Linked DNA regions of Anolis sagrei. The protein of the gene in region 1 binds, or shares a complex with, the protein of each later gene. Links are inferred from orthologs where the notes say so. Each region holds a gene or a part of one and is shown on either strand. Other genes may lie near its edges.

Region 1 (3,922 bases):
TGGAGGAGGACAGACCATGGATGATGGGACTTCAAGTACCTCCACTCCCTTCCAAAGATTGCTGCAACCCTCTTCTAATGACCAATCAAGACCACACTTGGCACACAGAGCCCCCATGATCCACTCTACATCCTACTGCAGTTTGAAAGGGGATGGACTTTGGATGATGGGACTTGCAGTACCTTCACTCACTTACTGACACCACTGCCACCCTCATCTAATGACTGATAAAGACCAAACTTGGCACACAGAGCCCCCATGACCCACTCTATATTCTGCTGCTGTTTGTAGGAGGATGGGCCATGGATGATGGGACTTCAAGTACCTTCACTCACTTCCTGAAAATAATGCAGCCGTTATCCAAAGACCAATAAAGACCAAACTTGGCATACAGAACCACCATTACCCACTTTCTCTAATAACCCGGGCAACGCCGGGTCCCCAAGCTAGTATACAAATAAAATGAGTTTCAGTACAACACAAACAAGTCAACAGAAGACATTCCTTGTAAACCTTCACAATTGAGATCAAACTCAGCAATAGAACTATTATCTTATTTAAAACAAATGAAATTCTGTTGTAGCATTTGGCATCTCAGAGTCTCATTTTTTAATTCTTGTAGCCACAGTTAAAAACAAAATAGTGTCTGATTTTTAAAAACTCCGCAACAACACAGTATTATTATCCCATAGAAATCATCATAGGAGCTCTGGTAGCATTTGCTATGTGAATAGTTAACATTTATTATTAATTGATACTCTAATTAAAGCCACGCTAGTGCTTTCCATTAGCTTACTCTCAAATTTTTACAGAGCTGTCCGTCTGGTTTTAATCAAAACCAAATGGCAATCCAAGTTCCCAGGCTGGAACAGCTCAGAGGAAATCATTCAGAGAAGGCAGAAGAAAGCAGGAAAGATAAACAGCAGATAGTTTCACCAAATCTGTATCGCATGGAGGATGTAGATCCTGTGGGCTGCTCCAGAGATATGATTCCGGCACCCTGTCAGACTGCAAAAGAGTAGTTACAAATGTTCTGTGTCAGCTGAATTCTAATATGATCAAGATGGAGTCTATACGCACGCTTCTATAACTTTGGATCTGTGAGGCTCTAGAGAATACTCCATAGAGGTAATACGCTATATACGTGTAGACTGTGGCTGCCTTTATATGCAATGGCATTCTTTTCTCTTCATTCTCATTGGCTAAAGAGCTCACTGGCAAAGCTTCGTCTTTGAGTTATATTTGCAAAGGCTGCAATTGTATTATCTATCCATCTTGCCTCTTTTTTTCCCTCTCCTCCTGTGCAATTCTTTGCTCAATAGAGTAGGGGGGAAAACGTCTTTAAAGCATGGCAATATCTTCTTTCAAGCTAATTTCCTTAGATGTGGTTCATTTATTATTCAAGAGAATTAAAGAGATATTTGGAATGCTTTCAAAGTTATTGTTTTATATGGGCTCAAGCGGTAGAAACAAAGTATTAACATAGAGAAGTCATAAAATTGGGGACTGGAGATATAAATATCCAGAGGCAGAGTTTCGTCAAATGCACTGTATCCAGATTTTCTGCCATTCCTGTTCTCTCTCTCTCTCACACACACACACACACACACACACACACACACTTACTTTCACATGCCTACTACTCAACAGCAGGAAATACTTTTGAAGCAATCTGGGCCTGGTTCTTTGAGGCCCCATCTCACAAAACATCAGTCTGCATTTAGTAGACAGAAGTAACTAGGGAAAGCTTGGTAGAATTCCATTTCGTTGAGGCTCCCTCCAGCTGCAGAATGTGTTTTGGTCAGAATCACACATATAGAGCAAAAGTGCTGAGAATAGAGCAATGATCTCAGCAATGAAATCCGAACTTTATGCTTGCGGAGGCTGAGAGAAATTCTGGGTGGGTTCTTTTCCCCCCACTTTCCCTTCTCTCTTTTTTGTGTACACAGCCAAAGCATTTTGAGGAGTAATTTTGACTATTTACAACTTGGCATTTTCACGAGTTAAATCTGCAAGTTTTAAAACTTTTTTTAAAAAAAGCTAATAAGCTGCTTTCAGCTATGCATACATTTTCTGGAATCTGTTAGACAAAATGCCAGGACTCTTTAATGAAGCTTTCTGCACTGAGGATTGCATTCGTATAGCCGGAATGGGGAAAAAACACAGTAAGTGAAATATTGCATGCCATCAGTGTCTTTAAATATGGATACATGCATGGATAAGAGATCTGAATTTTTCTATGTTTTTATTTTTCTATGTTTTTATTTTGTTAAAAATGGAAATATTTTACTTACTGTTGATATCTATTGCAAATGACACTTGCAAGATTTTAGTGTGTATGCTTTGCATTGGCTATAGAAACAAAAAGTTGGAATGTATTTTGCATTTTTCCTCGTTAACAATAAGAAGGGAGAGTTTGGGGTAAAAAAGTGGCATCACTCTTTAATTTACAGTCCTACAGAAGTCTTCAGAAGGAAGTCCTATTAAGTTCATGTTCACAGATAAATGTGCATAGGATTGCATCCTTGGCTGTTTATAACAGCCACCTGAGTTTGGTTCCATATAATTTTGTGATCTTAAGTGTGACTCCAATGCAAGATCATGATATCAAGTTGTGAAATGTGTCAGTCCTATATAGACTGTCAAATGTCAAAAGGAATTCAGGCAGAATTCCGATACAGGAGGTTAGGAAGTAGAGCCACCCCAGAACTCTGTGGGGCTTACTTCTGAGAAAATGCTCTTAATGCTAAATTCAGAAAATCTTTTTCATGACATATATCAGCTGTCATTTTAAAGAAGGAGGGAATTACTACAGAATTAACGCTACCTCTACTGCAGCTTAATATTTTGATTCCAAATTCTCTTTGGATATTTCCATAGAGCAAAACATTATTCCATTCCAACCCTGTATGAAACCATAATAGAGATGGTATATCATACATACATACTAGTCACAGAGGAGATGTGTGCAAGAATTCCAACCAGTGATGGATGATGGAGTTGATGAAATGATAGTGAGTAGGCTTGGTTTCAACAAAAATGGTTGAAAACCTGTTTCAGATGTAGGGGGCGCTGGTGGTTCGATTCTAAAGTCACTTCCAGTTTTTTTTAAAAAAAAAATCAAAACTTTCCAAAACTTCCAAAACTTCCGAATTGCTTCGTTAATGGCAGACACATGTGCGCAGTAAGAAATAAACAGCACTGGAACTGAGGAAACTTCATTGGATTCTCCATCCCTCGTTTTTAGACTATTCCTGATGAAACTTGCTACAATGGTAGAACACATGGACCACTGTTAGCTCACCAAATTTCATAACCTTTGACTTATCCATGGATTTTTGGCGAATTTTCAAAGTTTTATAAAAAGCATTTTTAATAATAAAGAATATCTGTTCCTGGTTTGAAAATGTTATTTCCTGTTTCATTGGGTGGTCTTTACTTTGAAAGTAGCTGTTCTACTCCAGAAACTTTGTTTATGTGGCACAAACTGTGTTAAATTGGTGCAGAACAGAAATCACAGTACAGACCCCATCAAGGGACATCTAGACTGATCCCCTTCTTCTGGGCAGAAAGGCACCATCCAAACTCTCCTGACATCTATTTGCTTCCTCTACTGAGTTAGTGGGAACTCTCAAGACACATCCATCCATTTATTCCTATTTGCAGATGCAATCAATCATTTTATTTCATCATTACTTACTGACGTAAAGGGAGGGCTGGCTGGCTGTGGTGGGTTATCCCAGTGCCTTGTTCATGGGTATTCGGTCAAAGTGAGTTATTGGTTTTTAAGCAGTTTATGTTCCCTTGGCTTTGCAAAAGTTGGTTGTTGCTTTGCTGCCTTCTTTAGACACTTTGGCTAATGAGCAGCAAGGCAATTGGGGCCTGGCCTTCACAAACTATGACAATGGCTGTGCTTTGCCAT
Region 2 (3,922 bases), on another chromosome or scaffold:
AAATCCCAGCCAGTTTACCAGCTGTTAGGATTTCTGGGAGTTGAAGGCCAAAAACATCTGGGGACCCAAGGTTGAGAACCACTGTTCTAGAAGCATTCTCTCCTGACGTTTCGCCTGCATCAATGGCAGGCATCCTCTTGCTGTGTCCAAAGGGGATTTCTCCCAGATAAGTATGGACCCTTTCAGACAGGCCCTATATCCCAGGATCTGATCGCAGGTTTTCTCTTTATCCCAGATTATCTAGCCGTGTGGACTCATATAATCCAGTTTAAAGTAGAATTAGATCCTGGGATATAGGGCCTATCTGGAAGGGCCCTGTGTCTAGGCATATACCTTTGAAAACCCAGAAGTTGCCGAGCCAATGTATATAAGATTTAACATAAATGTTTATCCAGCCCATCACGCGCGCACACATCTATATACACATTCCTGCTTAGGAAGCAAAAACCAAGCTCTTTTCCTCCTCCCTCTCTTGAGATGGGCCCCGAATCCGCTGACCCAGAGCACCAAAAACTGGAAGGAAACAGGATACAGATCTGGCTGAATGGTACACATGTCTCTTTGTTACTCCCAAGCTGCTCTGGAGGGATTTTCCAGTGGTAATATGTTTCCAATTATCCTGTTACGCTCTTTGGAGTCTATGCATTCTGACAAGGCGTCCTTTCCGTTTCCAACAATATGTCATCTCGCCCTGCTTTCCCTTCATTCCATGTTCTTCCCCCCAAAGGTGATGACCTTCATCCCCATGTTACATGCACGCTTACACATAGAGTCCGGCTAATTTACCTACATCCCAAGAGCTTGGCTTTTGCCACCTGTTTACAGGCCTGGTTTTATAAGCTCGCACGCGGCTTCATCTGGCAGGGCTGAGTTTGCTCTGGCACTGAGCTAAATATTATTAAGGCGCTCTGTGTGTATGTGTGTGTGTGTGTGTGAGTGATGAAGGGGGGGGTGGGACAGGGAGGAGGAGTTTGCAAAGCAAGGCAGTTCCAAAGATTCTGAGAAGGGGGAGAAAATTTGCCCACAACTTTGCCGGAGAAAGGAGTTGGGACTCGGAGAAGGGGATCGTATGGGCTGGACAGGAGGGCCTGATTGTTGGGGGACCGACTGCTGCTCTGCACCCCAGGCAAAAGGGGGCCCAAGAGGCACTGCCAGAATGCAGCTGACCAAGGTGTGTGGCTAAAACCCTGCTCTTTTTCTCCTTGCTTGGTTCTTCTTTACACAGGGCAGCATGGAATTACTGGCTGCGTCATTGGATGGAAATCATTCAGCCCGAGGCGCTGGCTGTTTGTGGCACAGGATGGCAAGGGGTGTATGTGCGTGTGCGTACAAAGAGAGTTGCTGGCTAGGAGCAGAGGGAGAATTCATAACCTCCCAACTTTCTGCACATTGATGAAAGTCAGAGCAGGTGTGTAAGCTGTGTCAACGGAAACCTAGTTCAGTTTTGAATCTTTGCCTGCTTTACATTAGTATTCTTTATCTACTTTGTGGCAGCCTCCTCTCGCAGTCTGTTAGTAAACGGTCTCTAAGAGTCTTTAGTACAATGCTTGATGGATATGACCAATCTTCTGACAACATAGCAGCAACTCAAGGCTAGTATACTGATGTTACTGGCAGTGATGGTGGGTTTTTTGTCGTTTTTCCTTTGTCGTGTCAGGAGCGGCTTGAGAAACTGCAAGTCGCTTCTGGTGTGAGAGAATTGGCCGTCTGCAAGGCTGTTGTCCAGGGGACGCCCGAGTGATTTGATGTTTTTATCATCCTTGTGGGAGGCTTCTCTCATGTCCCTGCATGGGGAGCTGGAGCAGATAGAGGGAGCTCATCCTCCTTTCCCCGGATTCGAACCTGTGACTTGTTGGTCTTCAGTCCTGCCGGCACAGGGGTTTAATCCACTGCGCCGCCAGGGGCTCCTAGTGATGGTGGGTGGGAGCAAAGGAAACAACACAATGAATTAATGTGAGCAAGTTGCTTAGATGTACCACTGTCAGGATGCATTCCCTGCTACTCGGACTGTAACTTTTATTTATTTATTTTATTTATTTACCTCTGAGGATGCTTGCCATAGATGCAGGCGAAACGTCAGGAGAAATGCCTCTAGAACATGGCCCTATAGCCCGAAAAAAACCCACAAGAACCTTTTATTTATTTATATGAAACTGGGTTTTTGTTGGGTTTTTTTCGGGCTATATGGACATGTTCAAGAGGCATTCTCTCCTGACGTTTCGCCTGCATCTATGGCAAGCATCCTCAGAGGCAATCTTTGAGGATGCTTGCCATAGATGCAGGCGAAACGTCAGGAGAGAATGCCTCTTGAACATGGCCATATAGCCCAAAAAAACCTACAAAAACCCAGTGATTCCAGCCATGAAAGCTTTCGACAATATGTTTATTTGAAACATTTATATTCCACCCTCCTCACCCCACAGGGGACTCAAGGCAGAGCACAACATATATACGGCAAACATTCAATGCCGGGACATACTTAGGTGATCCCTCGTAGTCCGAGGATGATGGTCCTCCAAGTGTAGTATCCTGGCAGTGGGTCTATAGGTGACTGTGGAGCCCTATTCTTGATCTGCACCTTCTCCCACAGTGAGGGCATCCAGGTGGAAGGCGGTCCCGGTCAGGGTTGGCTTGATACTATTTCACCAGAAGACATACAACTTTGAAGGCCTAGGAGATCAAAGCCATGCAGTCATTCCTTCCCACCAGGCACTGATGGGCTTCAGGAGTACACTGTGGTGCCATCTAGCTTTCTTTGCACTCCTGTAGCACATGTGTTGTGCAAGGAGGTATTGAATACCTCTGTGCATTACCCTCTGAAAGTGTGTGCATTACCCTCTGAAAGTGTGTGCACTTGGTTGAGCCACCAAGAAGATTCTATGTTTTGGAAGTGACTTTCCCAAGCTCTGAGGTTCTGTTTGTGAGAGTTGCTATTGTTGGCACTTTTCAAGTTTCTTTCAATCCCGTGGGGCTGCTGTATATTTGTTTTGTTAATACTTCTTGGCTATGATGCACATTTGTATGAATGCATGCACATGGGTTTTTAACTGTCAGTATACTATGTTGTTGTTGAGTGCCTTCAAGTCATTTTTGACTTACAGTGACCCTAAGGCAAACTTACCATGGGGTTTTCTGGGAATGAAAACATAAGTTGCCTAAGGCCACTTAATAGTTTGTCATAGCTGAGCAGGGGTTTGAACCCTGGGGTATTGTGTTGGTTTCTGAGCTGTATTACCATGTTCTAGGAACATGTCGGCTAGAAACCACACAACACCCCAGTGATTCCAGCCGTGAAGGCCTTCAACAATACATTGATTTGAATCCTGTTTTCCAGAGTTGGAATTCAGCACTCAAACTACTACACCATTCTGGTCCAGTACTGCTTTTCTACATAGCTTAGAATAGGCTTATTAAGACAGTAAAAGAGAAAAATCCTCTTATCTGAAACTATTGTGTAAGTGCAACTGGATCTACTGTAAGATTGAGCATTCTATTAAATATGCTTAACATCCATTTAAAAAGTAAAATAGTGACGGTTCATAAATAAGCACATCTTGTTTAAGAAGCCAGATCTGATAGAAGCCATCCTATTTTCCTAATGATTAGTTGGTTCTCAGTTTCCTCTTCATGTGCATGATTGCCAAAAAGGCAGATTTGCTTGGAAAAGTTTGGAAAGGTTACTTTTCTAGACTGTAACTCCCAGAAAACATGTGCTAGCACACCCAGCGGTTCTCCTCTGTTGAACACAACAGGGCTTATTTTTTGTGCCAAAGATTGCACAATAAATAAATGGTTGTTGGTATGTGCCTTCAAACTCTTTCTAACTTATGGTGACCCTAAAGTGAACCTATCATGGGTTGTTGTTATTTGTTTTGGCAAGTTTTTCAGAGGAGGTTTGCCATTGTCCTTCTCAGAGGCTGAG

The links.
Region 2: the proteins of DLC1 (region 1) and TNS2 are in contact, whole or in part, in an NMR structure (PDB 2LOZ), measured with the Homo sapiens proteins. The link is inferred for Anolis sagrei from reciprocal best matches to the Homo sapiens genes DLC1 and TNS2. Residues at the interface, in NP_001335010.1 of Homo sapiens: Glu811, Asp812, His813, Lys814, Pro815, Gly816, Thr817, Phe818, Pro819, Ala821, Leu822, Thr823, Asn824; in NP_736610.2 of Homo sapiens: Asp1268, Leu1269, Leu1270, Arg1271, Gln1272, Gly1273, Ala1274, Ala1275, Cys1276, Lys1317, Ser1319, Ala1320, Gln1321, Thr1324, Leu1387, Asp1388, Pro1389, Asp1390, Gln1391, Val1403, Leu1404, Leu1405, Gly1406.

What each region holds. Positions count from the first base shown.
Region 1 is NC_090025.1:72,530,011-72,533,932, forward strand, and holds the start of DLC1 (rho GTPase-activating protein 7), read left to right. Parts: upstream 1-874; 5' UTR 875-1,128; intron 1,129-1,638; exon of another isoform or gene 1,639-2,165; intron 2,166-3,922. UniProt on the Homo sapiens protein: Functions as a GTPase-activating protein for the small GTPases RHOA, RHOB, RHOC and CDC42, terminating their downstream signaling.
Region 2 is NC_090022.1:183,699,696-183,703,617, forward strand, and holds the start of TNS2 (tensin-2), read left to right. Parts: upstream 1-1,016; 5' UTR 1,017-1,069; coding exon 1,070-1,171; intron 1,172-3,922. UniProt on the Homo sapiens protein: Tyrosine-protein phosphatase which regulates cell motility, proliferation and muscle-response to insulin. Phosphatase activity is mediated by binding to phosphatidylinositol-3,4,5-triphosphate (PtdIns(3,4,5)P3) via the SH2 domain.